Pelodiscus sinensis: one gene and its partners. The protein of the gene in region 3 purifies or fractionates together with the protein of the main gene of each other region. This does not show direct contact. Links are inferred from orthologs where the notes say so. Each region holds a gene or a part of one and is shown on either strand. Other genes may lie near its edges. The genes, in order: VDAC2, ARL8B, RAB7A and VDAC1.

Region 1 (8,003 bases), on a different chromosome or scaffold from region 3:
GGTGTTCATAACTCTGAGGTTTGCCTGGGCAAAACAAAGTCGTGAGCCATCATTTTATTCTTGGAAATGGTTGAACTGTCTTCACTGAAACTCTCACTCTCAAAAATTAAGCCTGAGGCAGACACCTGGCTTGGGAAATTTTCAGTATGAATGGTTCCCTTTTTGGAACAAGTAAAGGTATTTTAATGGGAACATGTTGAGCAACCACAATTATGAGCAGTTCCTCCTCTTCTAAGCCCAGCACCAAGTAGCTGGCTGCAGTTCAGGTACTTTGGAAACATGCACACATCCATACACATGTATAGAGTGAAGACTTTCCAATAGCCCCCTCTCTCACGCACACACACACACGCATGGCAGATGCATTCCTCCCTCTCTCTCTCTCTCTCACACACACACACGTATGTAGGTACATAATTTTCCTACAGACCAACAGCTTCATTCTCTACACAACCCTGAGTGGAGTTCCCTGCTGTGCACTGAATGACACAAGTGTCCCGTGGGGAAAATAGTGAGTATATAAAGACAGTCATAACGCAGCTCCACAAAGAACTGAATTAACCTCCATTCTGGCATTTCCTAATTTTTCCAGTGCTTGAGTCTGTAACCTTACTGTTCTTTTGAACTCAGGCTTTCTTAAGCAAAATACAGGACTATGTAGCACTTTAAAGACTAACAAGATGGTTTATTAGATGATGAGCTTTCATGGGCCAGACCCACTTCCTCAGATGAGTTTTGTCAACTGTACATGGTTGTGGTGCTGTTTGACTCTTCCCTCAAACATTTTAACTGACCTGCATTACCCCAAAGTGATGTAGAAATGAATAGTTTTATTTAGAAAAGACAATGGTTTTCCAAATGTTTTTTTTACCGGGTAAAACTTATCAGATAAATATATTTTAAGATCTCCTGTGTTTTCTGCCCCATACCTCGTGCCCCCCACACTGAGGCCCAGATCCTGGAAGGCAGTTAGACACCTACCTATCTTTGAGGAGCTGGAGCTTAGCCTCTACATGCCTTTGGCGCAATGCAGTAACAACCAGGGCAAGGGATCTGATTGCATCTTAGTTAATTGCTTGTCATGCTCCATCTTCCCTGTTGCTCCCTCGATTTGTAAATTATGCTGATTCCCACCAATGTGACTCTTTTATCAATGGGTAACTTACACCTCCATTGAGGTCACCACTGAATTTTGCCCCATGGACGAAATTCAGCCAAAGTGAAGACAACTCCACGGAGGGCAGTAGGTTAGCCCCTCTTTACACCATCGGGACTTTGGCCCTGGGATTGATCCAGTGTTGGAAATTGGAATTATTGTGTAAAGGGGTTTTCACGTTAAGCTGCATGCTGATATGGGTCAGAGTCAAAGTCGATTCTGGAGCCTTGCATATAATTGCCCTCCCATCTGGATGGAGCCATGTGTTGGTAACTATCGTGTTTATATGTTCACAACTATTAAAGTGTCACTTTCATTCTGTTTTAATATTGTTTAATCTGTAATAAAGTTTTGGTCTGGGAAATGATACTAAATGACATTGGAAACAAAGCTGCATGTGCTATGTAGACTTGCTTGGGAGACAGGGGACAGCTCGGTCCCAATCCCATGGGGTAACAGACATCACTTGACCCCTGGAGTATGGGACGGACTTTGCAGAAAGTCCTTCCACTTGTACATGGAAAGGCCCCAACTGGACATACCACTCAGAGTGAGGGGGTATCCCCTTCCAGAGGCTGTGGCCCTGCCTGCCCAAAATGAAAGATTTTTGAACAGTTAGCCAGGAGACTCTGCAGGGTGGGGAAATGGAGCTGCTAGTTAGTGGTTACTATCAGGGAAAAGCCCCTGGGTAACAGAGGCTCTTGGGGAGGCTGACTGCCGTTTGGAGGAGTCAGGCGGCACCGCAGCAATTGTAACTGAGGCGAGCAGCCTCTTTTCTGTTGGGAAACTGATGCCAGGACCCCTCCAGCAGCTTTGGACGGCTGTAAACAGTAAAAACAAACTTGTTCTTCATCCGGGACGTGATCCTCTCACGCCTGATTTCTCCAACACTGCTTCCAGTCATCGAACCCAGGAACTCACTGGGTCAGCGTCCGTCCTGTCATCCCTGGGCCCCAACCTTATCTCCGCGCAAGGCAGGAGTAACAGCACCAGCCAACTCGTTGCCCTCCACCTCCCGTCTTCAGTGATGGCCTTTGGGACCCTCAGGGGACCATTCTTGCCATTGCTGAGTTGAGGGATTTTGAGTCACACAGGGAGGAAATGGTTAATTATTGCTGCATTGTTGGACATTACTCATTTTTTCCCTGATTCTCCTGCTTTTGTCCCCATTTCCTGCCATTTCTCTCTCTCTCTCTCTCCTTCAGTCCTGCCTTTCTATAAATAAAACATTGTTTATTCCTATCAGTTGGTGCTTGATTTCCTGTACTTATAAATTGTATTGTCCTAGTGGTTACTTTGGCGTATCCAGGACTGTCAATCACTGTGTTACTCCTGCCTCAGCAAGACAGAGGCCTAGCTGGTGCTAAACTGGGTGTTAGCTCCCAGAAGCCCCGGATCAAACAAACACCTCCGCATTCTGCCTGCCTTTGCTTTGCCTGCGGCTTAATATTTGATGCCCTGTGGTTCCCGGGCTTCTCTAACAGTCCTCCTGTGGCATCCAGACAGCTAGGCTCTGTCTACACTGCAGCACTGTTTCAGGATACCGGAGGCATCCCGAAATAGCTATCCCGTGTCTTCACAGCAAGCCCGTTACTTCAAAATGTAATGGGCTCACTATTCCGTCGTCCCTGTAACCCTCATCCCGCGAGGAGTAAGGGATGTTTCAGGACAGCGGGTTATTTGAAAATTTGGTGCTGTGTGGATAGTGTCAAATGACGAAATAAGCTATTTCAAAATAAGATGGAAGTAAGATACACAATTTGAGCTACACAAATTGCGTATGTTATTTTGACCTAAGGTGCAGTGTAGACGTATCCCCATTGGACACGCACAGTACCTGACAGCTTCACTAATCCCAAGGAAACAGGATACACACAGCTTGACTAGTACAACTCATGGTCAGTCCTTTATACTATTCCACCATGGATTTATAGGGAATGAATTGTACATTTCCTTTCAATTTTTCTTATATACCTAGTATTCCTCACTCACTATCAGGGACTTAAACCTATTAATAAAAAGAGCCACAACCTCCGTCTTCACAGATCTGCATGCAAGTTTCATTAGAGGCTCCAGTCTAGGAGGTGTGTACAGCAATGTCTTCTCCAGTCTTTTCCATCCATGTGTGGATTTTTTCTATCCACATGCAGAATATTTTTTTATATGCACCGAGGCATTGGTGAACGTGCACCACCAGTGGAGACAAAAATACGAGCTATGGGTACAGGCATGCCCTGATGTAAAAGACATTCACAACAATGCAACTGAATCATATAAACATGCAAGAGATGGCCTGCAAAACCTCATTTTTCACCTGAGAATACCACGGGATTTGGGGACAGCCCTTTCCAACTTCCTTAGATTGCAGTGCCTCAATCCTACAAATACTTAAGCCCAGGTGTGACTCTACTCCTGAGAGTAATCTCATCAAAATCAATAAAACTCATGAGTAAAATTACACGCCTCAGTGTTTGTAAGGGCCAGCATTCCCCTGTAGCCTTTCCGGTGGAAACCACTGGCTAGCAAGAGAGTAAGTGTAGTAGCTGGGTGGGTAGCTGGGATGAACGTAGTCAAGGGAATGCCATTCTTTCAAATACTACTCCAAGTAGGAGAGCCACCTCCAGATGAACCCTTACAGGCCCTTAGCATTGCACGAAGTAGGGCAAGACTTGCTGAAGTAGCAATCCCTTTAAAGCAGCACCTAGTACAGACATATACTAGGGAAAAGGATGTTTTAACCCATCATAATCAGTGACCATACCTAGAAAATAGAAAATACCTCCTGCCATGCCAGGAACTTTATGAAGGACTTGACTTAGTAGCCTAGAAGTTTCTCTCTCTTTCTGTGGCCCTTCTCTGGATAGCTGTACAGAGGTCTCACCTCCTCACAGTGTCCTCAAGTCACCTATTTTTCCTCATTTGTTAACTGGAGGATATTGTCCAGTACTTCGGTCTTAAATGTTAGTTGCACCTCAGTCCATTAGCAAGTCTACCTGATATAAATCTGACTGCTCTCTGACGTGCACTTGGATCTGCAGGCACCAAAAATAAATAGCTTCTGAACAGTAAATGTAATCAAAGAAACAGTAACAGATTATGAGAAGTGTGATCCCAAGCCTGGAAATCAATCCCAAATTTCAGTCATATCCTTTCATGCTGATCCCTCACTGTGGCCTGAGGGAAGCTTCTTTAGCTCCCTCCTTCAGTTTGCCCTATCTGTAAAATGGGACTAATAGTATCTCATGAGGGTGATGTGAGGTTTAATTAGTGAACAGTTGCAAAGCACTGAGTACAATTAGTGCTGTATAGAACTCAGGCAGAAATGAGACCCAGCAAAACTCGAGCACAACAGAGGTTAACACTTTTACTAACTACTATTTCAGGTGCAAACTGTTCTGCACATTTGTTTACATCTCTCAGATGTCATTACTCCCATTTCAATGAATTAGGGACACGGGGCTCTTTTTCTGAACCAGCTTTCCTATGAGCGTTAGATTGGCAAGGACATTTAGTAAGTTGAATGTTCTTAGCTTGTGTTTTTAACAGAACCTCTTATGCCCTATTAAAGCAGAAAACTCAAAGGACCCCTCCCCTAAAAGGCTCTAAAATAGCTCCTCCTATAAGGGCTAAAGTCCCATTCATTTAGCCACCCTTGAGCCTTAGTAAAACAGAGTGTATAGCAGGAAGTTAAAGCATAGCAGCAGTGTTTGCTTATGGACTCGTTCCTTGAGGCACAAGGGGAAACCTCCAGGGAGATGGAAATCCCACCAAAGAGAAAAAAGAAGAGAAAGCATTCAGCCAGCAAAGAAAAACACAAATGTGCGAGTAAGTACAAGTTTAATCATGCGCCCTAGGTTGGCTGCTATCCCCTTCCCTTAGATCCTTAATTTTCTCTCTTGCAATTGAATTCTCTCCCCCCCCCCCCCAACTTTTATTTTCTTGTTATGAAAGAATAAGGAGCTTTGGGATTGACTATGTATGAGTGAATAATTGGGAACTTGCAGCCACCACCTGCAGAGATGCCCTTTATAAAGCCAAGTACAACCAGAGGGAGTTCAGTGTCCTTTACTCCAGTGATCCTATAGACTAGAGAGAAGGGCACCTAGACTTCCCCCCCCAGCTCAGGACTGCAGACTTTCAAAGTGTTCCAGGCCTACCATTGGCATGACTGTGAGCATAGCCATTTCCTACATGTGCATTTGTGCACATTCAACTAGTGCAATGCCTGTGTGGATGTTCTGCTTTAGTTTTAAGAGTGACTTCTTTTGGTTTATTTCAATCCTGTTCCTAACTGGCTTAACTAGAAAGAAGCCTGGAATAAGAACGTTTGCACCAATGTCTTGAAATTGGTTTAAAATCACACTGCAAGTTAAATGGGGACAATTCAATGTGTGGGCAAGTCCTTGGCAGAGTTCTGGCAGTTGCTGTATTGTTAGGGGAGGGGATTTGGCATTCTTTGCTCCCCAGGTGGGGAACTTAAGGCCTGGCGGCTAGATGCAGCCCTGGGCTTACCTGGATCCAGATCCCGAGGTTCAGGGTCTGCCCCCAGCACTGGGGAGCCCACATGGGCGCTCCAGCCACTCTGCAGCCCCATTGCAGGGCTGGAGCACACAAAATCTACTAGGCTGGGCCCCCCAGGCTCTGGTGTACCAGGAGAATGTGGGGAAGCATCTTTCTCCATCTCAGTCAGGGGCCACACCAGTGAGGGTCTGGTGGGGTTTTTTTTTTTTTTTGCTTCTTACCTGTGTGCGGGCCCCGACTGATTTGTGTGTGGGTCAGTGGTCTCTGACCCAAAAAAGGTTCCCCACCCCTGCTGTATATGTTGTGCTCAACTCTTCATGTCCTGGGTTTCTAACATTCGATAACTGGTATCTGCAGAGTCCTTGCCTTTTTTTTTTTTTTTTAGCTTTGATCCATACAAAATGGTGATGGTTAAGGAATGTAGGCTGGAGGAACTGGCTGGCTGGCACAGATAGTGGAGGAAAGCTAATATAGAGAAGAGAATAGGGGTGGGGTTTTGACAGTGGCTCAGACTCTGAGAAAACAGAGTTATGAAGCCAAAAGAAGTTGCCTATCACAGTAACCTTTGCTTTCCAAATATACTGAGTTCCACAGTAACCCTCCTGCCCCAATATTCTGAAAACTTAAAGGATGCATCTGTAGCTAGAGAGAAACTGAGGGATGGATGCATGGGTTTTTATACCGTTAACAAAATCCTGACACAAAACCGGAAGGGTGCAGTCTTGCTTCAGCTTTGGTCTTTATGTTGATTCATCACTGTTTCTGCAGGATGGGACGGTTGTTTCTTACATTCTCTGATTTCTAAAAATAAAACCAATCAATTTTTTTTAAAAAAAGAAGCATGGTTGCTGGTATATGGAACAGAGATTTGTTCTTAACTATTTTTTGGTTTAAGTAGTGGACTTGTGGCTTTAAATAATGCAGTGTGGCATAAATTGTATAAGTTCATTTTGTATTCGACAAGACATCTCTTTTCTAGTGAATGTTCCAATCCACTAATTTCCTCCTCCTATCCCTCTTCCTGTCTCCCCAGTTGCCATTCATTCCTTTCTCCTGTGCATTTGGTATTAACACACTAATACGTTTTCTCATGTCCAGTACTCATCATCTTCATTTAAATGTATTAGCTTGTTAGGTCCTCCAGAATGTATGTATTTATGCTGGACCTGAAAACTATTCAGTTCACCTCTGCATATCATTTATAAAAACAAAAATATGCTGGACCTGCTGGCTCAACAGCTGCTCTGTTTTCCACAATCCACCTTTACTGCCCTATATTCTGATAAATTATATTATCATATAGTGTATTGATTATACTCTCTTGTGGAACCTAATTTTAAATGAAAGAGGCAATACTATTAGAGGGGACTAAAAACCTTAGAACAAGCTGTGCCATACACAGTTCCTTGGCCGAGCGAAAATATTGTATTGGTGACTAAGCAGTTTCTAGTATCAGAGGGGTAGCCGTGTTAGTCTGAATCTGCAAAAGCGACGAGGAGTCCTGTGGCACCTTATAGACTAACTGAAGTGTAGGAGCATAAGCTTTCGTGGGCAAAGACCCACACATGCATCTGACGAAGTGGGTCTTTGCCCACGAAAGCTTATGCTCCTACACTTCAGTTAGTCTATAAGGTGCCACAGGACTCCTCGTCGCTTAAGCAGTTTCTGTGGTGGGATTTGTCATAAGGCATGATTACAGAGACTGGTGCAAACCAGTCATGTGACACTCAGTCTAGCCTTGCTTTCCATTCTTAGAAAAGGATCACCCCAGGGACCAGGACCACTGTAGCAGGGAAGGAGGGCAGCCCGGGATGGTTTCAGTGGGGAGTTAGGGAGGTGTGCAGTGCACAAAAAGGCTTTGGCAGCTGTGGTGAGGAGAACTTGTGCACCGGGGCAGTGGACATGAAAGGGTGGCAATGAGGGATACAAGTACAATCCTTGAGGCACATGTAAGTTTTAGCTGCCTAGTGGTACCTCTTATGTTGCTACCAGAGGCAGAATTTAGGAAAGCACCATAAAACACACTGGCTGCGTCTAGATTGGCATGATTTTCCGGAAATGCTTTTAACGGAAAAGTTTTCCGTTAAAAGCATTTTCGGAACAGAGTGTCTAGATTGGCATGGCCGCTTTTCCGTAAAAGCACTTTTTGCGGAAAAGCGTCCGTGCCAATCTAGACACGCTTTTCCGCAAAAAAAGCCCCGATCGCCATTTTCGCAATTGGGGCTTTTTTGCGGAAAACAAATCTGAGCTGTTTACACTGGCCCTTTTGCTCAAAACTTTTGCGCAAAAGGGACTTTTGCCTGAACGGGAGCAGCATAGTATTTCC
Region 2 (7,896 bases), about 9.2 Mb from region 3:
TGTGGAAACAGCTGCAGGATTGTGACTTAACTTATGTAAAATCACATATATATATATATATATATATATATATATATATATATATATATATATATATATATATATAAAACACCATTTCAGCTAGCCCGTGAAATACAATGAATCCAAATGTCAGAAGGGATTAGCTTCATTTGAGATTTTGTCACAACCTTAAATCAAAAAGTATGGGCTTATCAAATCTTTTGATAGTCCTTGGGTCAGTTCATGGTTGTATATTGAAATCATGTAAGATATCATTTACTAAAACAGGTGACAGCCCTTTCAGATGCATTTTTCTTTGAGATTTGGAGAGAGTTCAAACATGAAACACAAAGGAGTAAAAAGCTTGAGTGAGGTGGGACTTCATGTTCTTGATTCATATGTCTATTCAAGAAGGCACAAAAGAGTACTTACCTAACACTCTAGATAACTGACATAATTTTTAAAAAATCAAATCAGATGGAACTAACAGCTAACAGATCCTAACAGAACTTGACCTATCAGGGAACTATAAAATTCTGCACACAAACCTAAGAACATAAGAATGGCCATACTGGGTCAGACCAAATGTCTATCCAGCCCAGTATCCTGCCTGCTGACAGTGGCCAATGCCAGGTGTCCCAGAGGGAGTGAATTGAACAGATAATGATCAAATGATCTCTCTCCTGCCATCCATCTCCACCCTCTGACAAACAGAGGCTAGGGACACCATTCCTTACCCATACTGGCTAATAGCCATTTATGGACTTAACCTCCATGAATTTATCTAGTTCTCTTTTAAACCCTGCTATAGTCCTAGCCTTCACAACCTCTTCCGGCAAGGAGTTCCACAGATTGACTATGCGCTGTGTGAAGAAGAACCTCTGCCCATTTCAAGCCCCTGCTGCTCCAAGACCGAAGTAAATAAATAGATATGTCTTTGTACTGCAAAGTTGCACAGATGGACTATTTTGGATCAATGGGAGGTGGTGGAAGCAGGCTTCAAAGCTGGAGGACCCTCCTTCATACACTTTGCCTCCAGTCCCTGTTCTTTTTCTTATTTTTAAAAAATTCTGTGAGTCGAAATGTGGATCCTTGCCCAGACCTATACACTGAAATCAACCTAACATTAAATTGTTAATCTACTTTTCCCCAATGACATTATTTGCTTCCATTATATAGTTCACTCATTTTAGCCCAGGCAATCAGGCTGATCAATTTTACTTTTTCATTCTCAAACTAGCACAGAGTCCCAGCGGTAAGTTTCAATGTAATAAACCAGGGGTTCCCAAACTTTTTGACATGGGGACCAGTAAATCGATTCATGAGCTTTTGGAGGACCGGTAACATTCATTTGCATATTTGCATATTCATTAAGCAATGTTGAATATTCAAATAAGTTGTTTCTGGTCCTCTCAAAGCCCCCAGTGCCAGTTTTAGCAAAGCTTTTGATATGGTCACCCACAATATTCTTGCCAGCAAGCTAAGGGAATATGGATTGGATAAATGGACTGTAAAATGGACAGAAAGCTGGCTAGAGCAGGGTTTCCCAAACTTTTTTACTTTAGTTGGAACCCGTTTTTTTTAGTACTGTTTTTTGCAACCCAAAAATATAAACACATATCAAAAATGAATTAAAAATGAATAAATTTTCAGTGTTTCACCTGGCTGCATCCTCTGCCCAGCCTGGGCCAGGGCTTGGGGGACATGGCACCACATGGGCACTCCAGGAGGCAGGAGCAGGAGCAGATTGAGGGTAGGGTATCTGGTTAGGAGGGAGGGTACAAGGAGGGGTAGGGTTGCCAGGTGTCTGGTTTTGTACCAGACAGTCCAGTATTTGAGAATTCTGTCCGGGAAACAAATTGAGAAAATACTGGACATTTTTGTCCAGTATTTTCTAATTAGGTGTATCAGTCCGTAGCTGTGAACTGCCTGGCTGGTGATATGCTCACACTGTGTGAGTGTGTTTACCAGCCAGGCAGTTCGCAACTACTCGAGGGAGGGTATAGGGGGTGGGGCAGAATGGAATCCCCGAGGGTTGGACTCACTTGTGTGACCAGGTCAGTCCCTCTTCCTGCCAGCCGATTTGCTCCCCCCTGCCTGCTTCTCCTCCCGATCTCCCCCGTCCAACACCTCCCCCCCCGGCCAGCCCCGCTTCCGAAGGCTGGTTCTCCCATCCTCCTCCTCTCGATCTCCCCCATCCAGCCCCCCTGCTTCCCGTCCAGCCTTGCTTCTGCCAGCCGGCCGGCTGGCCGGCCGCTCCCCCCCTCCCCCCCAGTCTCCACCAGACAACCCCGCTGCCCTCAACCCTGCTTCCCGGTGGCTGGTTTCCCACCCCGCCACAAACCTCCTCCCAGCCTGCCCTGCCCCGCTCCCTTCCCGGCAGCCACGCTGAGGTCTGGGATTTTTTTCCCGCGGCCCAGTTCCAGGCCGCAGCCCATAATTTGGGAAGCGCTGTAATAAACAATCACTTTCCAAGGGTGGAATTAGCAGGGGTAATGGCAGTAGTATTGCAGCAGGTGTGGGGTTGTTAGATGGAGGAAGTGTGTGGGGAGAAGTGGATAGATATAGGAGGTAGCATAGGAGGCTTCACTGTGTGTGGGTGTGGTTGTTAACAGGGCAGTGAGAGCAATGTAGGAGAGCAGAGAGTAGTGGGGTGGGGAGCAGTGGAGAATGGGGAGGTTGTGGGGTAGTGGGGGTATTGGGGTGGCACAGGGCTAATTGTGCAGCAGGTTTAAGAGGGGACATCACAGGACCAGGGGGTTAGCAGTGAAGGTGTCAGGGTAGCAGTGGACAGATAGCAGACAGAAGCAGTGCAGGATATTGGAAGGTGATGGGGAATCAGAAGCAGTGGAATTATTGGGGATTTCGAGGATGGTGGGGTGAGGAAGCAATATGGGAGACTGGGTGGGCAGCAGTGAGGCATAGCAGTGTTGCCAACTCTGATGATTTATCATAAATCTTGTGATACTTTATGTTTAAAATTCCTGGCTCCTGTGTGGAAATATTAGCTTTCCTTTTTTTGGGGAAAAAATTCCAACCCTAATGATATTGGAGAAAAGCTGTAAAAAGTGACCCAAGTGCCCCCTGAAGGTGCAGAAAGCAGAAGGAAAATAAAAATAACCTACTAGGTATATTTTCTTTTTCAAAATCTCAAGATTTTTAAGGCAATTATGGGGAAGAGGGAGCTGACTCAAAGGTTTTGAACATCTGGAATGGTCTGGCCAGAATTCAGTGTTAATATTTTTTTAGAATTTTGACAGATAATATCAATGATTATTTTTAAGCTTTTTTAATTTTTTTTATTGGTTTACATTTTTACAGTTGTGGGAAATGATAGTGGCAAGTGTCACCTAATACCCCTAAACCAAATTCTCAAGCAGCATTTTTCCTACCTTGCCTATCTGTAAATTTCCACCATTATCCACATACTTGTTGTATATAGAGGCTACGTCTAGACTGGCATGATTTTCCGAAATGCTTTTAACTGAAAAGTTTTCTGTTAAAAGCATTTTCGGAACAGAGCGTCTAGATTGGCACGGACGCTTGTCCGCCAAAGCACTTTTTGCGGAAAAGCGTCTGTGGCCAATCTAGATGCGCTTTTCCGAAAAAAAGCCCTGATCGCGAAAATGGCAATCGGGGCTTTTTTGCGGAAAACAAATCTCAGCTGTCTACACTGGCCCTTTTGCGCAAAAGTTTTGCACAAAAGGGACTTTTGCCCGAACGGGAGCAGCATAGTATTTCTGCAAAAAGCACTGATTTCTTACAGTAGGAAGTCAGTGCTTTTGCAGAAATTCAAGCGGCCAGTGTAGACAACTGGCAAGTTTTTCCGGAAAAGCGGCTGATTTTCTAGAAAAACTGTCCAGTCTAGACACAGCCACAGTGAAACTGACACAGTAGGATGGATAAAAATCGAACCCTTCTACTCCCTAGTATGGGTTTGATGGGAACTGTGCAGGTATTGGAGGTGGAGCCCTGTGGGTGCTTGGGGGGGATATATAGCAGGCTGACGGTAGAGGGTGGCAGTGGGGCGCAAAAAGGGCACAGCCAAGCGTTCATCATTCACTGACTTGTCCTAGTTCCTATTCGTGCCCCAGTCCGGCCCTATCCCTTATCCTTGCTCCAGCCTCTATTCCGCTCACCTTGCCTCTTGGCTCGGGACAATCCCCTGTCCCTGCCCAGGCTCTGTGCTTTTCCCTCCCTCAGTCCCCAAGCAGATTTTTTTTTTGGCTCACAGCAGCCCCGCCCCCAAATCCCACCATTTGCAGCCTGAGCGCGCCCCACGCCCGTTTAAAGTGCCCCCCGCCTATGGGGGCCCTGCCTATCCCCTGCCCTGCCCCAGCCGCTGTCACCGCTCTCGCCCCCGCTCCAGCACTCCCCGCTCCCTCTGCCCTGCCCAAGCCCAGCGGGCCGGTGCGCCAGAGCGAGTCCTCCCCGGGCGCAGAGCGGACATCCAGCCGGCAGGGGGCGCCGTAGGCCGCGCTGGCGGCGGCTGCCAGCCGGGGGCCGCTCTTGCTCCGGCAGGCCGGCGTGTGGGTCGGCAGCCGAGCCGTCATATGACCGCGGCGCGGCGAGCAGGGCAGCGTTGGCCTTGGCTGGAGCCGCAGCCCGCCAGCTCGCGCCGCCAGAGCCCGCCACCAGCGCTCGTGCCGGAGGGTCCCGGCCCGGCTCGCCGCCGCCATGCTGGCGCTGCTGTCCCGGCTGCTGGACTGGTTCCGCTCGCTCTTCTGGAAGGAGGAGATGGAGCTCACCCTGGTGGGGCTGCAGTACTCGGGCAAGACCACCTTCGTCAACGTCATCGCGGTGAGCGGCGGGGCTGCCCGGGGAGGGGGAGTCAGGCGGGTCCCTAGGCCCGTCTCCCATGGGGGGGGGGTCTCGGTGTTGGGGGCGCGTGCTGGGGAGAGGGGGGAGCATGACCCTGCCCTGCGGCTGGCCCCGGGGGTCTTTCGGGGTCTCGGGGTGGGGTGATCCAGGGCCTGTCTGTCTGGCTCCCGCTGGGCTCTGGGGGCCTCTCTGTCCCGTGTGGGTAATGGGGGGGGGAGAATGCAAGAGGGTGTCCGGGTCCCTAGGTTTGTCCCCCAATGCGTTGTTTGGGTGCTAAACAGGCCTGGCATTGGAGGGTGTGTGGGGACGCTGAGCCAGCTGCTCTTCTCTGCCAGCCTTAAGGCAGGGTGGAGTGCCGTGCAGGTTTCCACCCGTGGTTGGCGGATGATGCTTTGGTTTGCATGTGGGAAGGGTGGATTTTGGGAGTGGGGCCATCTTTGAGTGACATTAGGGTATGTCTGAAGAGCCAACCCTCGAAACAGGCGGTTGCAGTAGATGACCAGCCTTGATGCTGCAGTGAGGCCAATGGAAATCTTTAGTCTATCTGGTAGGGAGAGCAGTGCTTCCTACCAGCTGCTCCTACAGGCCTTGCTACAATGTTATTATTTAGTAATGAGATGGTGGTGGTGATCTCTGAATGAGATTTGGTATCCACCTGTGTGAGCTTAAATTGGGTTTGCAATTAGCCATAGTCTACAGTTCTCGCAAATCTGTTACATACAGGTCTTGGTGCATTTTATAGTTCCTGGCACAGTGTCCTAGATAGCATCCAGGCAAATGGGATACAGAAGTACAGTAGTGTAAAATGGACATTCTGTGTTTTGAGCTTTGTGGGATAAAATACTGACTGTAATAATGGTCTCTTTATTGCTGATGATCCTTTCATGCATTTTCTGTAAAACAAAGGCTATTGGGGTTGAGATGTCCTCATTAGAACTATAGCTACAGAACAGTGCTTCCTGTACTAACAAATGTAGCATAGTTTGCTTGATGTGTACACAGGCCAATCACTGACTCAGGCTAGCTTGATGACATGGTTTTAGAACACCTTTCTGTGTCATGGTGGGTGGGCAAACTATATTAATGACCACATGATGTGAAGAATGTCTTCAACCACTTTCTTCCATTTTATTTCTGATGGGCTGCCAATAATCTGCTTAACTGCTTTCTCTTGTCATAAAAGTCCTGCTCCTGACTCTGCACTCTTCTCTTGTTTCTGCACTCTGTTGCTTATTCTCAGCTGCTGAAAATACTCTGAATTAATCCATCTATACCTTTTCCTGTTAGAATGTTCTAGAGGGCATTCGCTTTCTGAATAGTTGAAGGAAATAACTGCGGTTCACTATTGTGTCTGATGGATTTACTAAACCAGTTATAAATATGCCTCTTGTGTGAGGTTGATTGTGACTGTTGCTGAGCAGGAGACAAATTGAATGACTTGCTTGGACCACTAAATTGCGTAAATTTCCTCTGGCTCTGCTATTGGCATTCGATACTACAGTTGGGAAAGGATGCATGTGACTTAGTTGGTTTTCCTTCACATGCAGTAACGGACATAACTGATAGTCAAAGTCATATACAGAGAAACTGAGGTAGGAAGCTAGTCTGGTGTGGACTTGGTAATCACTTGATGCACTGAGTTCTTGAGTGCAAGTTAGATAAGCTTCTTATCTTGGGTGACACAAACCAACTTTTTGGCTGCAGAAGAATGGAAACTGTCTGACTTCTTGTACAGCCACACAGATTTTATGCTATGTATGTTCAGTTAAGCCTGGATAGTCCTTATGACTTCAACTACTTTCATCACTCTTCTGCCAAAAGCATTTTCATTAATTCAGTATTGTGGCTGTTTTTCAAATGTATTAGAACTTTCAGATAGCATATTCATCGGGTCCAGTAGACCAGACTGTCCCTGAAAGCATGCAAGGCTTAATACAACAATTCAAGGTCCCCTGACAGTGTCGGTACATTTCAGAGGTGGTGTTTGTTTATGGAGGATAAGCTTTGCTCAGATCAATGTGTAAGTTTTACTCTGTGCATGCCACCCTGATCAGAGTTTTGTTTGGCTAACATGTTGGAAAAGAAACTTTTCAACTTGCAAATGTCATTGAAGAATTTAGGTCTTACTCAGTAAATGTCATTGAAGAATTTAGGTCTTACTCAGTAAATGTAACAGTTCTGACAGTTACATTGCCTAATCAACAATGTCACTCTAACTTGGTGTCATGCTAATACAGCAAACGTCTGATAATCTGCCCCCTTTAGGATCCAGGGGGTGCTGGATTATCAAATATGCTGGAGTACTGGAAGGGGGGCTATGAGGGGCCTGGGGGGGGAGGGGGAGTTGGCAGGGAACTGCACAGCATGGGAGAGGGTGGTGCTGTGGGACCAACCTGGCAGCAGCACCCCAACTGCTCTGCCCCTGGCTTCCCCAAGTCCACTGCTGTTGAAACTGACCAGTGGCAAACTTGGGGAAGCCAGGGCAGAGCAGCTCCATTGTCGGGCTGGCTGGAGCACTTCCAGGTTCCAGTTGGTGCTGGACTATCAGGAGTGCCGGACCACTGGATGATGGACAGTTGGAGTTTTACTGTACTGTATAACTAGGACACTCCACTCATTGGATAACATTTCTTCTTTAAATTCAGACATTGTCTAGTCCTTCAGATATGCTTAGTCAACAAAACTGTTAAGCTATGTTTACACTGGCGCAGTCTTGTGCCAGATATATGCAAATGAGGCTAAGTGTGGAATATCACAGCCTCATTTGCATATCTAATGAGCTGCCACTTTTGCGGAAGAGGCTCTTGCGCCAGAAGGAGCTGTCTACACTGCCTCTTCTTGTGCAAGAAAAACCCTCTTGCGCAATGCCATTATTCCCGAAAATAATCAGCGTAGTGGCAAGAAGGTGACTTATTAGATAGGCAAATGAGGCTCAGCGATATTCCATGCTAGCCTCATTTGCATTTCTCTGGCGCAAGATCGTGCCAGTGTAGACATAGCCTTAGTTTGTGGGGAGTATTTTTGGTAGGGAAGATGGCAGTACTCAAAGTGAAACTCCCAGGTTTCACCTTTTGA
Region 3 (8,493 bases):
GGGGACAGGAGCCTGTGTTGGAAGGAGCCGGCTTAAAAGCCGCTCAGTCCCAACTCACACCAGGTCTGGGACCTACCACTGCTGCACCTCTGCATTTTGAATGTAGTAGAGCCAGGCAGCTCTTACTACATTTAAAATTCAGAGGCGCAGTGGTCCAGGACCTGGCACAAGCTGGGACTGCTCAGTCCTGGCTCGTGCTGGATCTGGGACCTACCCCCACTGTGGCTCTGCATTTTAAATGTACAGCTCTTACTACATTTAAAATGCAGAGCCACAGTGGTCCCGGTCCCAGCTTGCGCCTGGTCCAAGTCCTAGCCCTGCTGTGGCTCTGCAGTTTAAATGTAGCCAGGCTGCCTGTGTGCCTGGCTCCTACTGCATTTAAATTGCAGAGATGCGGTAGAGATAGCTCCTGGATCTGGTGCAAGCCGCAACAGAGCGCCTCCCCTCATCGATTAGCCAATTACCTACACAAATAGCCAATTACCCACTTCTTAACATCCTTACTGAGAATTTCTGATGCACCAGCTTTTTAATCCTTTGGAATAGATACAATCCAGAGTCACTGTCACCCAGACAGTAATTCATTCTGGTAGGGAAACATTTAGGGTTAGTATTAAAAAAAGTGAGTAATTGTAAGAATGGTATATACTTATGACAAGTGGTCAGATTACCTGTGGACAAGTCCAGAGACCTTCCATAAATAAAGGATAAGTGTAACATAACATATGACACAAGCAATAAAGACTGCAATGAGAAATGTAACATGCATCAGACCAGAATGCTTGGTACTTGAGGTTTCAGAAAGGATGTTATACTGTTATTCTTAGTATCCCTACAGCAGGATAGATGGTCCTGACTTTTACAGACAAATCGAGAAGACAAATGCTGACATGTACAGGTTGTAAGCAGCCCCTATAAAGTACTCAGAATTCTCACTGATACAGAAGTCAGTTGGAATTGAAGGCATTGGACACCTTGCAGTAAGTACTCAAAACCACACTTGTCCAGACCCTAAATCCTGTGTACACAGGCATCTCACTTAAATCTACCACTGTTGTTGTAGCACCAGTATGGATCCATTGATGGTAGCCACATGGAAGCACTAATGCTGACCAGTGTTTCCTCAATCTTTTCCATACATGTGTGGATTTTTTTTATATCCATGTGCAGAATAAATATTTGCTATGCACTGAAGCATGTACGAATATGCACCACCAGTAGAAACAAAAAACCCAGTTGTGGGTGCTCTGCTAATCAGCTGTGTGTCAATCTGTCCTGAGTGGCCAGGCAAGCAGGCAGCTTCCAGGGAACACTGGTGCTGACCAGTAGTTCAGTATTCATACTGCAAGCTGGCTTAGACAATGCAGGTGATCAGTGTACAGGAACTTCCACCCATGGTATTACAAAAGTGGTAATGCAACAATGGAAGATATTTAAGATGAGTGCTCATGAGGTCACAGCCTCAATTAGCCAAAATGAATCAAAGGATGACAAATAAAGGGCTGTGTCTGGACAAAACTAGACTACTCCAGAACTGCAACAGTAAGAGACCTTGTGTTCACATCTTTTTGGTTCCTTTTTTTGTTTTAGTAAGTTAAAATGTTATAATGTTAGTTTGAGGAAGTCAGTCCAAAGAGTAGAGGTGGTGGAATTGAGATAAGCTTTGGGAAGCTTGTCAAGAGAAGTGAGCCTGAAGGAGGAATTTGAAGAAAGCAAGTGAGGTGTCATTGAGAAATGTTAAATATTTTATATAGCCAGTGGTTAATATTTCAATATTCACAATCCACAAGTCTATCTCTTCCTTCTGTGTAGTCAGGCCAAACATCCAAGGACGTTCTCAAGGAGCTGTTCGGTGATGTACTGGAGCAATGGGGGGTGGATTATTGTACTCTGGAGAAAAAAATGAAAATGATCAGAATTAGTCAGAATCAATTTGATACATTATGTAGCATGTGTCCAGACATGGGATAACTGTAGATCAGCATCTTTGTAATCCTCTGAACTTTGACATTCAGACTGTGTTATAGAACTAAGTCCAGAATTGGACTCTTAACCATCATGCCCTGTTTAGGGCCAGATCTTGACTGTGGAAATCCTCTAACCGGTAGCTTCATGCTGTCTAGCACTGCCTGAATGTCTTAGAGATCTGTTTTAACGTTAATAGACAATTTAATCACAGAATAATAATTGAGTATTTGAAAAGAGAGAACACAGGTTGATTTGCCCATCACTTTTATAGTTCTGTCACTTCTTGAAATGCATTTTCCTGAGAATGACCTCTAGATAAAGTTATTTTCAGCTGAGAGTAAGGCGGTATAGAGGCTGGTGGGGAAAGAGATGTTATGCTGTTGTTGTTCACCTCTGTTTGCTAAGCTTCAGATTTGTTTATCTATTGCCTTACCCACCTTTCCATGCCAAAGAATGGCCACTGAATAGGTAACAGCCAATAAACTTTTGATGACACCAGGCTAGAGGCATCAACTTGTCATTCATCTTTGAGAAATAGGTTTATTTACTTCACAGACTTGTATGATAAATAACTTCAATTGTGATTTCATCTTATGCTCATAACTTTACATATATTACTGTTACATACATTTTGCCATGATGCTACTAACCAGCAAATTATCACTTTTCAAATGATACCTTCAAGGCATATTTTGTACAAAGATTAGTGTGCAGGGTGTAAATACCAGGGTGCATTCCGTCACATGCATTCATCCAAGAAACAACACATTGTCTACACTTTCTGGTTTACAAAAATTGTATTGATACATTTACTCTTATTTGCATTGATACAATTGAGGGAATGAACTGTCTAGTCCGGCACGCTTGGGACCTGTTCGGTGCCGATCCAGAGAATTTGCCAGACAATGGGAGGTCAATATTGTCTAACAGCATTACCAACACTTCCACTGCTTACCGAGCACTTGGAAGACATTTAAGGGTAAATTAGAGGTAAATAACAGCACAGAACACTGAGAGCCAGGACTGGTGGCTATAAACAAACTTTATGGGACCATGGGAAACTTGGCCACACCCATAGGTGGACATCCAGCTAACTAAAATAATGACGGACCTCAGATGTTGCTGGACTGGGAATACCAAACTAGAGCAGTTCAACCTGTAGCAGGAAAAAAGCAGGGCCATGTTGAAACAAGTCAGAGAAGGAACAATATAAGGGGACTCACATACCATTGTATTTAGTTGGAGTAAGCAGGTTTGATTGTTTGTCACACGAGGAAAAAAAGACAAATGTGAGGGAAATTATTTTTTCTAATTGTGAAGGGATGAACGCATGAAGTGTGTTGATGTATATTAACTTGGTGAAACTGACAGCCAGAAGTCAGTAAATTGTGAAAAGGGTCACAAATCCACTGACACATACGAGACCATTGATTTCCACAGTAATATATTTCCCTGTAAATAACTGATATTTGGTTTCATAATGATCCAGTTGTTCAGATTAGATTTTGTGTATTCTTAACCAGACTCGTCTGTCAGGAAACACTGACTTCTTAACAGGTTATGAAAACTATTTTGCTGGCCTCACATCTTATCAGGATTTTCACTGCATTACATTTTTTTCTTTTAGCCTATCCTTGTTTTCATTTTTGTTGACAGGTATGTCACTATGATGCAGATAGAAGAATCATGAGGCTTCAGTCCATATCTGCATCTGACATGATAGTTACATATTTTTTATTTTTCTGTCTTAGGGTTTAACAATGGTATTTTCAACAAGCTGTGGCCCTTACATATAAGCTGTATATCCTGCTCAATGACAAAATTCTCATTCACTTCAATAGGACCATGATCGGTCCGTATTAGTCTGATAACAGAAAGCGTTGCCTGCAGGAATTAGCAAGTCACAATAAAAAAGAATTGCATGGCACAGATGCTGGTTGTGCAAAGGAAGAAATCCCAGGCTTGTGTTAGGTTTTCACTAATGTGATGCATAAGAAAAAGATCCCATTTAAAATAAATGTGTTGCACTTTTGCCAGAATCTCTGTGATCAGAAGAAGGCAGAATTTTCAAACACAGAAACTGCCTCCTTTGAATATTGTACAGGAAAAAAAGGAACATTTAGGAGTGGACAGAGCAGCACTTTATGGCTGTTGGTAGTGTCTGTTCTTTGTCCACCTAGCATTTTATGGTCTTTTTTCCAGGAAACACACAGGTGGAGAAGTTGAATGTTGTGCCCCAGTTTGATGCTGTAGCCAATACACTTCTGGTAATTAGGCTGCACAGTGAGGATGGCATGAGCATCACAGTCAAAGCAGTGATGCACTTTCATGAGTTCTGTCTTTGAGGTTTTTCTTATGTCTTTCTTCTTTTGTTCAATGAAGCATCATAATCAACACCTTATGTAGAAATTTCCATCTCATAATCTCAAAGTACTTTATAGCCATTAATAAACAACACAACCCCTGTGAGATTGATCAGTATAATTAACACCATCCAACAGATGGGGAAATGGAGGCACAGAGAAAGTAAAGATTTGCCCAATCTCAAGAGGATTCCCTATCCTCTGCTCTAAAAAGCTGATCCAGCTCCTGTTGCAATCAACATTAAGATTTGTATTACCTGCAGTGAGCTAGATCAGCCTGCGACATCCCATTCTCACATACACCTTTGTTGTTTGGTTCTCTCTAATGTAGTATAACTTTAATATTGTGTAATATATTATCTGCAATGAAGAATATTCCAGATAGGAATATAATATATATATATATCAGATTCTAATAGATTATAGCACTTTTAATAGTAACTTCTATCTATAACTCTCCAAATCCTTTACAGACCTTAAGGAATTAAACGTTATGAAACCACACTGAAACTGGCATTATCCCCAAGTGACATACAGAGAAAATGAGTTACGGTACTGAGCAGGCAAGTACCTTGCCCAAAGTCCACAGAAAATCTGTATCAGAGATGGGGAAAGAATCCAGGTTTGTTTACTTCTAGTCCTAATCATAAACCATTCCCCTTCTTTTCCTGATCTGAAAATTCAATTTCTGTTAACATTGCTCGATAGGATTTTACTTTTTTAATATGTTTGTAAAGAACTTCATTAATACATAGGCACAGGTCACACTGTGTCCCGTGGCTACCCTGGGCTGCAGACGGCGAACCGCAGCCAGTGGGAGCCATGAGGCTCTGTGGCTGCAAAGTAAACAAACCAGAGTGGCCCGGTAGAATCTTTCTCAGAATGCTCGGAGGCGCCACAGCACGCAGCCTGGCATCCAAGATGGCCACCTAGATGACGCCAAGGCGGGCGTGCTTGGACGTGTGACGCGGCAACTGCACTCCCCCCCGCCTACCCTGTGCGTGCTGACGTTACAGCACCGAATGGTCCCGTGACCGGAAGCTGGCGCGGGATAGGCGGAAGTGAAAGCAGGGAGGCTGTTTGGCCCCATTAAAGCGGAGTCGAAGGCAGCAGTGGAGGTAGCGAGGCTTGGAGCTCGTGTCGCGGGGCTGCTGAGCGTGGTGAGTGGCCGGCTTGGCGATGTGGGGCTCTCTCCTTCCCTGGGCTGGGTTGTGGCCTGCTGCTCCCCTGGCGGCTCGGGACTTGGGCGGGGGCGAAAGGGGGGGAAGGGTCTGTGGCTTGGCGGAGGTAGCGGGCGCTTGGCGGGGTCTGCGTGGTGGGCAGCTGCTTGGTGGGGGCGGAGAACGTAGGCCCGGCGCTGCGAAGGAGGCTGCTCGCCGGGGCCGGCGGGCGGCAGCTGCTCTCGCAAGTGCCCTGAGGCTGGGGGAGGGAGGAAAAGGCAGCCGGCTCCACCCTAGTCCCCCTGAGGAGGGGGAGGTAGTAGATCCCGGTGTCTGGGACTAAAGCGAGAGGAGGGGCTCTAGGAGGAGGTGGCAGCGGGGCTCCTCCCTTGTTGGAGTAGGAGGGGGAGCGGCTCTGTGAGGAGGGGCCTTTTCTTTCCAGTTGCGGGGACTAAATGGGGTGGGGAGGAGGCGTTGATGGACCCGGAAAATTGTTCCTTTGTGTCTTATCCTGTGCCAGAGAATGGGGCTCTTCCTTGTTAGTGGGATTTGCATCGAGAGCTCACTGAGTTAGGGAGGCATTGTGTGTAAGGATTGGGATGGGTTTAAGATTTTTCTTTCCTCCTGCCCTCATCTATATGTAACAATGATGCTTTCATAATGCTTCAGAGTAGCTAGTAAAAGCTGATGTTTTGAATATAAAGCTTTCCTGGTCGATGTGGATGTTTTCTTCTAAGGAAGAGGCCATTCCTTCAGCCTCTCTAGTTGCCTGTAGTCAGGTGCATTGACCTGATATGAAAATCAGTAAGAGCTCAAGTAGAAATGATAAAGTTTCTGATGGAGATTTGTCACCCACCTTTTGTGCTTGGGTTTATGCAAACTCTGAAGAATGGGGGTGGGTGGGGGGGGGGGGGAGAACAGCTAGAGGCTAGGAATATCCCTAAGTTTTTTTTTTTTTCAGAAAAAACTACTATAATTTGAAATATTATTCAGTGTAATCAGTGGATATAATTAACTTACTAGCAGACTGCACTTAGTCCAGTTAATAACAGGATAACATAGGCAACTGAAAAGACTGGCAGTTATTGCGCAAGTAACTTCTTTGCATGCATAAGGACTGAGTCAGTGGGAAGAATTAAATTTGATGCTAAGATGCTGTAGGCTGTAATCAGCTCTTATGCCTTTAAAAAGGCTAACCATTGCTATCCTGATTAATTAAAAAGCTAAGTTAAGGAGGGATTTCAATATTTTTCTAACTGCTAGCAGAGGTGATGTATTGGTTTAGCTGTATTTTAAAATAGTTCTGATTATACTGACTTCTTACAACCTTGAGGTAAGACATAAACTTGAGTCATAGGCCAAGTTTAATTTTGTCTTTCATGATTCTTCAAAAACTTGTCCTGGTGGAACAGAGCTGCTAAACCTATGAAGGACTGCATGGGCAAACATGTAAATAAACACAAGGTTTTACAAATTCCTCCCAGACAAGCAGGAAGTTCAATGCTAAGATCTGTTTTGTTGCTAACAATTTGGAACATGGGTAACAAATAGTAGCAGTCCACTACTACACCACTCACTACTACACAACTCTTCTGTGCTATGCAAATTGCAAGTCAACATCTTACACCTGATAATATAGATGGGGATTATGAAGTACGTGACCCAGCTTGCTCTACTAGAGTTAGCTGACTTCATTTGTCTGGTTATGGCTTTAACTTGGAATGCCTGTTTGCCACTAAGACCACTAGCATTTAATAAAATAAAAAAAGTCCTGCAGCACCTGAGACTAACAGATGGTATTATGCACTTTTGTGGGCATATCCAAAGCTCATACCATCTGCAGCACCTTAGATAAATAAAAAAAAAACCAATAGTCCTACTTTTTTGTTAAACTTTCAGTTACAGACTGAAGTATTTGATAAAACAGTTTCTTGGCTAATATTCTCCAGGCAGCCATATTGAAGTGCAACTCTTTTATAATCTGGAATGAAGTTTGTTTAAAGTAGGTAGACTACTGTGTTCACTGTTTTTTAAATCTGTGGTTCTATGCCATGCCCTCAGTCAGGAAAAACTCTCATTCTGTCTTTCCCTTGTGACTTCAGCAGCTGACTAAACACATGACTTGCTATCCACAAACTAATAATACTTTGTCTAGATTTGGTGGATCAAGTTCAGAATTCAAAGGGTCTTCATTATGACTTATTTCCTAATGTAATAAATTCTTAGGCATTCAAAGTGTAATCTCAAACTTCTCTTCTACATGTGCTGTTATATTCTAGTACAGAAAGTACAAGATTGGGTTAAACTGTAATTACCAAAATAAGCAGAACTGCTTTCAAGAAGCCCTACAGCAGTACAGTTTTCTCCACTAATCTGCTGCAGAATCTAGTATCTAAAAACCTTCCTAAATTATCAGCTAGGTCAGGAAATGCTTCTCAGACTCAATATAACTGTTTTTGTTTCTAGAGAACTAATCTACAAAGATGCTTAAGGCGGGACAATAGATATTGTAAAGCATGGCTTAAAACACTTGAACTCTAATATAATTGGGCACATTGAGACTGCTCTGAAATACAATTCTAACTAGCTTCTCCATAGCTTTCTTTTTTGGTAAGTCAAAGTGGCTTCTGTTGCTTAAGCCTATTTGCTTTTGGACTGCACTCAAATGTCCAAGGAGAAGAGTGGTTTTGGACTCTGAACTTCAGTAGCAGAACTTATAAGAGTTTCATGCTGTTTGAGATTTACCTGTCAGCAGAATAAATTTATGGGCAAAACATGACTTTGGGGAAGTCCTTTCTTATTCGAAACTATAAGACTGTGCCTCTGTTTTGGGGAAGAGGGGAGTTTTCTAGGGAGAGCTGAACAGTGACTGCAGAATATTTGTAGATAGTTTCACTGCATGGCATTAAACATATTACCCCTGGAGTGGTATAAAAATCCCATTATATAGGGAGCATATAAGATTGCCCACTTCACTACTGTTAAGGCAGTTGATTTGACAA
Region 4 (7,853 bases), on a different chromosome or scaffold from region 3:
TGGCAAGGTCTGAGAACTCTTTGGTGTGCCACATTTTAAGTAAATTCACCTCTTCTAATCTAATCTGATTTAGTATTTATAATGCACCCATCACACTAATATTTAGGCACCATCTAAATGTGAATAACACTTTTCTATCTGAGTGGACCAAACTGTACACAAGGGCTGTGTCTACATTGGCGTGATCTTGTGCCAAAGCGACCGCTTTTGCGCAAAAACATGCTGCCTGTCTACACTGGCGGGGAGTTCTTGCGCAAGAACACTGATGTTCTAATGTGTGAAATCAGTGCTTCTTGCGCAAGAACTATGATGCTCCCACTCAGGAATAAGCCCTCTTGTGCAACTGTTCTTGCGCAAGAAGCCAGTGTAGACAAGCAACATGAATTTCTTGCGCAAGAAAGCCCGATGGCTAAAATGGCCATCAGAGCTTTCTTGCGCAAGAGAGCATCTACATTGGCACAGATGCTTTTGTGCAAAAGTACATCTCTTGCGCAAAGGCACATGCCAGTGTAGACGCTCTCTTGCGTAAATACTTTAACGCAAGAACTCTTGCGTTAAAGAGTATGGCTGTGTCTACATTGGCACCCTTTTCCGGAAAAGGAATGCTAATGAGACACTCCAGAATTGCAAATGCCACGGGGGATTTAAATATCCCCCGCGGCATTTGCATGAACATGGCTGCCGCTTTTTTCCAGCTCGGGGCTTTGCCAGAGAAAAGCGCCAGTCTAGACGGGATCTTTCGGAAAATAAAGCCTTTTCCGGAAGATCCCTTATTCCTCTTAAAATCAGGAATAAGGGATCTTCCGGAAAAGGCTTTATTTTCTGAAAGATCCCGTCTAGACTGGTGCTTTTCTCCGGAAAAGCCCCGAGCCGGAAAAAAGCAGCAGCCATGTTCATGCAAATGCCGTGGGGGATATTTAAATCCCCCGCGGCATTTGCAATTCCGAAGTGTCTCATTAGCATCCCTTTTCCGGAAAAGGGTGCCAATGTAGACACAGCCTATTTGCGCAAGATTATGCCAATGTAAATGTAGTCAAGAAGTTACCCTGTTGACCTGAGCACTTTGCTAATATTTGGGGTCCTGCAGGTTGTTTCCAGTAGGAGGAGAAATAGAGCGAGGTATTTCTTTAACAGTGCTATTGATTTACAAAGAACGTGCACAAAGTCCTGTTTCTCTGAACACAATAAGATCAAATGATGAGAGGCAATGTCCTTGTTCACATGTCCAAGTATGCCTTTCCAGTCATCCCAAGGTAGACTACTTCTTTTTAGAGTAACTCATAGTTCTTTGGGTTCAATTTCAAATTGGCAGTCTGAATCTTACCACAAACCATTTATACGAGTTCCTATTCAGAGGGCTTAGATCCCACCAGGATATAATCTAGATATACACCGGCTAAAGATGGGGCAGAAAACTGTTGCAAATGTCCTGTTATTGGCTGGCCCAATTCCTCATCCAGATGACTGACTTCCACTGTGGTCTGTGATCCTTTGATTTCTTTCTCAAAGTGATTTTTAGCTCCGTAAATTCCTCCTGCACCTCATTTCTTCTAGCAACATTTTAGGTAAGAGGGGATCCAAAATTAAATCACCTATTTGGTTTCCTGAGAAGACAGGGACTCGGGAATTTGCACCCATCCAAAAATGGGGGAAATTGTGTCTGAAACTTAGACTTCTATAATTAGAGCAAGAACTCTGAATAGCGGGACAGTGGATGAGGCAATAATTGGTCTGGATTTCATTATGACTAATAATTGTGTAATAAATGCCAGGAAAAGCAACCTATTAATTCACTCTGTGGAAATTCCCTTTAAAGATGTGGTGCAAGAAAGACATATAATTTTAGGCATTTGGTCTGCAGTGAGCAAGTTGTCTTGCCTCCAGCAGCATGCTGGGATAGCTTTTAAGCAAAAGGAGGATGGAGAGTGACTGAGACATGCTTTAAGATCTAGATTTTCAGAGGGATTGTAGCTGTTAAGATTCTTGAGGGTGGGACTGGCAATGGACTCCTGTTCGTTTACTAAATGTTTCTGAAAACAGCAAATATTAGAAAATGGAACCACAACTGCAAAACAAAAATCAGTGGATCTAGTAAATACTGGTATAGAAGAAATCTACAAGGAAGAAAGGGGTGAAAGTGAGTCCCCAGAGTTTGCAGGCACAGAGCAGCAGAAAAAGCAGCAGGAAACAGCAAGCAAAGCACAGATAGTGTGGCCCTAAGAGAAAGCCAAGAGGAAGTGTTTTGGGCAGAGTTCCGGCTATAAAAGGAGACTTGAGATTGTGAGCAAGGAACCTGACTTCTGTTGTTTGCTCCTACCAGGTTCAAGGAAATGGGATTTTGTGTACATTCGTTGTAAATTAACAAGACTGTATCAAAGAAATAACCTGACTGTATCACCAGTTTCTCCTCCTAATGCAAGGTCCCAAATATTTGCAGATGGCTCAGGCCAGAAATATTAACAGTACCAAAATCAACACCCCTTTCTCAGGGGACTATTATTGTTTCAAGGAATAATGTTGCTAAGCTATCCTGCACTGATTGGAATTGGACAACCAGTGCATTGGCTTTACATCTTGTCCCGGGGTGCTGGAGCAGGTTTTATAATGGGGATTCTCAGAGCCACTGAACCAAATTGTAAACCCAGTGTAGAATGCAAACCACCTCAAGCCAAAGGGTGCAGTAGCACTCCTGGCATCCCTAGTTCCAACACTTATGTCTTGCCTTGGTGATGCTGGTCTTTGATTACTGCAACCTCAGCATAATGGGTCTCCCTGACGTACACCTTGCCAGAGTTCATACAACTTGCAGCTTTTAACTTTATCTTCCATGTCTGAGCCAGCACAATCTTACTGTTGAGTGTAGTACTGACCACCACACTACATACACTTAAGTAAGTGAAAAGCTCTATTCCTGTAACTCCACCGACATTAGGACTACTGCTGGGAATGAAGATACATATATTTGTGTTTGCTGGATAAGGGCCTTAGATTGTAAAGTCCTTGGGACAGGAAGCATATTTCCTCTACACTGCATACAGTGCTATAGTCAATAAGGGTATGTCTAGACTACATGGCTACATCAACAGAGCCATGTAGATGAGTTTACTAGACATAAGAAAATGAAGCGGCGATTTAAATAATCGCAGCTTCATTTACATGAAAATGGCCGCCACGCTGTGTCGATCAACTGTTTGGCGGCATAGTGGGGCAGTCTGAACGCGCTGCAGTCGACAAAGGAAGCCTTTGTTGACCGCTCCGGTATGCCTCATGAAATGAGGTATACCGGAGCGGTTGACAAAGGCTTCCCTTGTCGACTGTGGCGTGTCCAGACTGCCCCGCTGTGCCGCCAAAAAGCGCAGCGGCCATTTTCATGTAAATTAAGTGGTGATTATTTAAATCGCTGCTTTATTTTCCTATGTCTAGTAAACTCATCTACATGGCTCCGTCGATGCAGCCATGTAGTCTAGACATACCCTAAGAGAATATGTTTCACTTTCTGGTTCTCTTACCCACAGCACTAGGGTACCCGAGTGTTCCCTGTAAGCTGACAGCTTGGGCAGCCACCCAGGAGAGATACAGGTGCCTCCCAATGGATTAGCAGAGCATCCGCAGCTGGCAGCATGCATTTCTATTGGTAGTACACATCTGCACATGCCTTGGTTTGCATAACAAAATTTATTCTGCACCTGGATGGAAAACATTAGAGGGAACATTGGATACCACAGCTGGGAAGCAGAAAGGGCAAGGGAATATTTCTTCAGTTAAAAATAGAAGTGAGAAATACACGCTCTGTTTCCACTAGAACCATGTCCAACATGCTAGCCACTAGCCACTATTTGGCCAGTTGAGTGTAGCTACTTCACTATATACTTCACTATAGCAGAACTGGTTGGACACCACAGAACTAGAACTATAAAGGAGTTCCAGACATGGGTTTTATTAGATTTATAGTTGACCTGAAATGTTTTCCTAATGCACCGGTCTGAAACCTATGGCTCTAGAGCCAAATATGGCTCAGTACGGAACCAAATATGGCTCTTTTGCAAATCCCAAATACACACAACTTTTTAAATGTAAATGAAACATTAATTCAAAATTTAAAAAAGTGTAATTACTCATGTCAAGAATTTGTTTTGTCTATTTCACCTTTAACTGTTCATGTTAATAACCATCCATCCTCTCCACTCCTTGTAAACGTCAAAAGAAATGTGCAAAAATATGCAGCAGCAGAAGTCCCATGTAAGAAAGTCCTTGAATACAATGTTTCCTTTATGCCATTATTAGTCATCATGTCAATTATTAATAAAATTAAGTTGTATATTTTCAGTCATTCAAATGGGCCTTTTTAGAGGGCTCTTTGTTGAGCACTTATTCTGAATTTTAATGTAGTTTGGCTCTTCGGTTTGAAAAGGTTGCAGACTCCTGCTCTAACGTGACAAAAGCAGGGGGGCGCTGAACAATTTGTATAGTGTGTGTGTGTGGGGGGGGGGGGGAGGCTAAAAACCACTGAACCAAATATAAACTCCTGTAGCAGCTGGAAACCCGTTGGAGCCAGAGGTGCGGGTTGCAGCACCCCGGCGTGCCCTAGACTCGGCATCCCAGAAGTTGAAGGTGGACGAGGCTTCTGGGTATCATGCTCCCCACCCGCTGCCAGGGCAGGGCTGAGCCCAGCGCGGCTCTGCCCAGCACCGGGTTAAACCCCTGGGCAGCTGCTGGAGATCTGACGAACCCCCTTTCCTTGCCAAGCCCTGCAAGAGCTCCCCACCCAGCTGCGGGGCGAGGCAGCCCCAGCCGCTCCGGAGGGGGCGGGAGTCCCGTCTCCCGTCTGTCAGGGAGTGTCTGGGCTGCTATCGCGGTCTCTCCCTAGGCCGGGCTCCTAGGTCCGCCCCGCTCCCTCCCACCCAGCTGTCACTCAGCCCGGCTACAGCCGCCGCAGAGCCCGGCGAGCAAGGTAAGCGCGTGGGCCGGCAGCGGCGCCGCTCCGCAGCCTCCTCCCTGTCTCCGAGCAGGCCGCTCTGCAGAGGTAACCGGGCGGCGGCCGGGGAGAGAGGGGGCGGCCCGCAGGAGGGATGGGGCCGGGCGGTGCCTTTTGCAAAGGCCCGGAGCTCTGTGCTGCGGCCAGGCCCTGGCAGCTGCCTCCCTTCCCCCGCCCTGGAGCCTGAGCCGGGCGCCTGGATGCAAAGGGCTGGGCTGAGCCGGTCTTCCTCCAGTCACCTTCGGGGTGGTGCAGCCATGCGGAGAGGGCGTCGGATGTTCTCGGCAGCGTGGTCCCTATTTCAGGCAGCGCCCCCGGCTTATGCCCGCCGCCAGCTGGCTCAGAGAGGGAGGGGTTTGCAGGATGGCATCTCCCGCTTCCTTCTCCACCCCGTCATCCCCCCAGAGCCAGTCTGTAGGTGACCTTCTCTCTGGGGAAGGCGTGTAAGATTTACCCTACCGCATTCTCATACAGGCCCCGACTAGAACATGCGAGTCTGCTGTCCTCCCCCCGGCGAATCCCTAGGACGGGTTACATCGCAGTGCAGGGCTCTACTAGCTGATGCAATATGTAGATTATTCTCATAGCCAGGAGAGGGATGTAAATTATTGTGCCTACAATTTGTAACTTCTCCACCAACCAGATTTTACTATTGTGCATTATCTGGACTGCATTCATCCCTGTTCTTGGTTGGATTTTGGGTGCTCATACTTCCAGGGCCTCCTCCTCCCCTTGCATTCTGAATGCCCTTAATGCCTGTTTCATACCTTTTTTTTTTCTTTTTTTTTTTTTGAGGCCTGACAGTAATAAAACATATTTGCTGTTTGTCCATCAGGCTGTTAAAACTGCAGGATCCTGAAATGTGAACTGCTTCAATTGGTCTCAGGAATGATAGGAGGAAATTCCATAGCAGCTAAGCTTTGCATGTTTTAAAATGTACGTGGAGGCAAAATAAGAATATTTTTGCTAACAATTTACTATATAAACTTTTTCTGAAATAGTGTAGATTATAATCTTTCATTTCAGATGAGTTTTGATCCTTTGAAGCATGACTTGCTATGTGACTGATATAAATGTGAGCAATAACAGGTAACAGAATTTTGGTTATATGAGGATACTTCCATGTAGTGGACAAAATTCTGCCATTAACTCTCCCTACAATCCCATTGTCTTTAATGGAGTGGTAGTACTAGCTGCTAATCAGTCTGAGAATTGTCTTTAAGGTAATTATCCTTTAACCCTTGACGTGTACATGTTTCTGAAAGCATGCTTCCTGAGATATGTGCAGCTTTTTATAATTTTTCATTTTCATATAAAGCAAAGGTCACTGGCTATATGTCTGCTTATATTGTTATATGATAGCATGACTCATCACAGAATCTTTGGCCAGTAATTTACCTTATTTTAACTGGCTCATTCCAGCCTGTTATTTTCCGTATTCTTGTGAAAAGTGGGAATGAATTGTAGGGTTTAGTGGAGTTCCAGAAGTGAGAGAAATTCAGCATGAGATATTCAATAAAACACACACACCCAACTCCCAAAATACATGTACTTTTTAAAAAAGAAGTTATTTATATGTTAACTGAATGTTAAGACTGGGTAAAGGACCAGTTTAAGAATGCTAGGGACTGAATTCATTTAACCTATGATCAGGCTCAGCCTTGTGCAGCAGCCATGAAAGTTTTTCCACACTGTCTTGTCACGTGTGATCTGGAAGAACAATTTTTGTTGGTGTAAAGTAGCTCTGTCTCCATGTATTTTCTGTCACTGGCCATCAGTTAAAGTAAAATTGGAGTGGAAGGTATCCATGCTGTTGAGTAGAGTTATTTCTAAGGATAGTGATGGAAATGTAGCCGTGTTAGTCTGGTGTAGCTGAAACAAAAAACAGGACTATGTAGCACTTTAAAGACTAACAAGATGGTTTATTAGGTGATGAGCTTTCGTGGGCCAGACCCACTTCCTCAGATCAAATAGTGGAAGAAAATTGTCACAACCATATATACCAAAGGATACAATTCTAAGGAGCAGTGATAATGATTCTGTGTTGCATACCAGATTGCTTTGTGAGGGTCAGAAATGAAGATTTGTTCATTCCCTGGTAGGAATTGTCAGAATCTCTTTGAAGAAGGATGTTCGCAGTGTGAAAACTCTTTAAAGTACAAGACCTGCTCCATTTTTACATAACAAGTCATTTGTTTGGCCCGTCATTTTCTGTATTCCTCCTGTTTCTCCCCCCTCCCCCCCCCCCATCCTGCTATAGCATTTGTCTGGTAGTGCAAGAAAGTCTGAATTGGGTATGGAAACCAAAAAGATATCCCCGATTCAGTCTTGTGGCTTACCTGCAGGACGGTGTCAAACAGAATCTAAGTAGTGAGATTGCAAAGCCCAGACATACATATTTTGAGAAAATGACAGATGAAAAGCATAGAAGGAGAAAATGGATTTAACCTATACCCCCGCCCCTAACCGCTGCAGGTACAAGCTGGCTGCTTCAGGGAGCCATTTTCCTGTAGTGTGATAGGAACTAGCAAACAAAAATACACTGGGGAACCAATTGTTACCCTCAATATTAACTAGTCAGACCCATTAATTTGAGGGCGTGCTGATGTAATAATAGAAGTATCATATGGTTTGCTCTTCAGTGCTTTGCCCAGGCATACTGTGCCCTCTGAACTGGTTACCTTGTCCTGCATTGGTCATATAACTGGCAACTCAGATATCACTGGCCAAATAAATCACTGTCTTAATTCTGTTCCCATCCTTGCTTCCAATGGTCACATTATTGCTCACTGCTTCCTATACATGTATTTGCACAATCAATTAGAGATTAATTTGTGATTTTATTTTTAAATAATAGGATCTTTGGCACTTGGTTAGC

What was found.
Region 1: the proteins of RAB7A (region 3) and VDAC2 purify together in Homo sapiens (affinity purification with mass spectrometry; 3 studies listed by BioGRID and IntAct, with this or other methods). This does not show direct contact. The link is inferred for Pelodiscus sinensis from reciprocal best matches to the Homo sapiens genes RAB7A and VDAC2.
Region 2: the proteins of RAB7A (region 3) and ARL8B purify together in Homo sapiens (affinity purification with mass spectrometry; 4 studies listed by BioGRID and IntAct, with this or other methods). This does not show direct contact. The link is inferred for Pelodiscus sinensis from reciprocal best matches to the Homo sapiens genes RAB7A and ARL8B.
Region 4: the proteins of RAB7A (region 3) and VDAC1 purify together in Homo sapiens (affinity purification with mass spectrometry; 3 studies listed by BioGRID and IntAct, with this or other methods). This does not show direct contact. The link is inferred for Pelodiscus sinensis from reciprocal best matches to the Homo sapiens genes RAB7A and VDAC1.

Annotation. Positions count from the first base shown.
Region 1 is NC_134718.1:8,199,494-8,207,496, forward strand, and holds the start of VDAC2 (non-selective voltage-gated ion channel VDAC2), read left to right. Parts: upstream 1-4,854; 5' UTR 4,855-4,869; coding exon 4,870-4,981; intron 4,982-6,359; exon of another isoform or gene 6,360-7,141; intron 7,142-8,003. UniProt on the Homo sapiens protein: Non-selective voltage-gated ion channel that mediates the transport of anions and cations through the mitochondrion outer membrane and plasma membrane.
Region 2 is NC_134721.1:16,316,185-16,324,080, forward strand, and holds the start of ARL8B (ADP-ribosylation factor-like protein 8B), read left to right. Parts: upstream 1-4,547; 5' UTR 4,548-4,677; coding exon 4,678-4,800; intron 4,801-7,896. UniProt on the Homo sapiens protein: Small GTPase which cycles between active GTP-bound and inactive GDP-bound states.
Region 3 is NC_134721.1:25,508,054-25,516,546, forward strand, and holds the start of RAB7A (ras-related protein Rab-7a), read left to right. Parts: upstream 1-5,345; 5' UTR 5,346-5,491; intron 5,492-8,493.
Region 4 is NC_134727.1:27,818,385-27,826,237, reverse strand, and holds the start of VDAC1 (non-selective voltage-gated ion channel VDAC1), read left to right. Parts: upstream 1-4,824; 5' UTR 4,825-4,951; exon of another isoform or gene 4,952-5,023; intron 5,024-5,810; exon of another isoform or gene 5,811-5,911; intron 5,912-7,853. UniProt on the Homo sapiens protein: Non-selective voltage-gated ion channel that mediates the transport of anions and cations through the mitochondrion outer membrane and plasma membrane.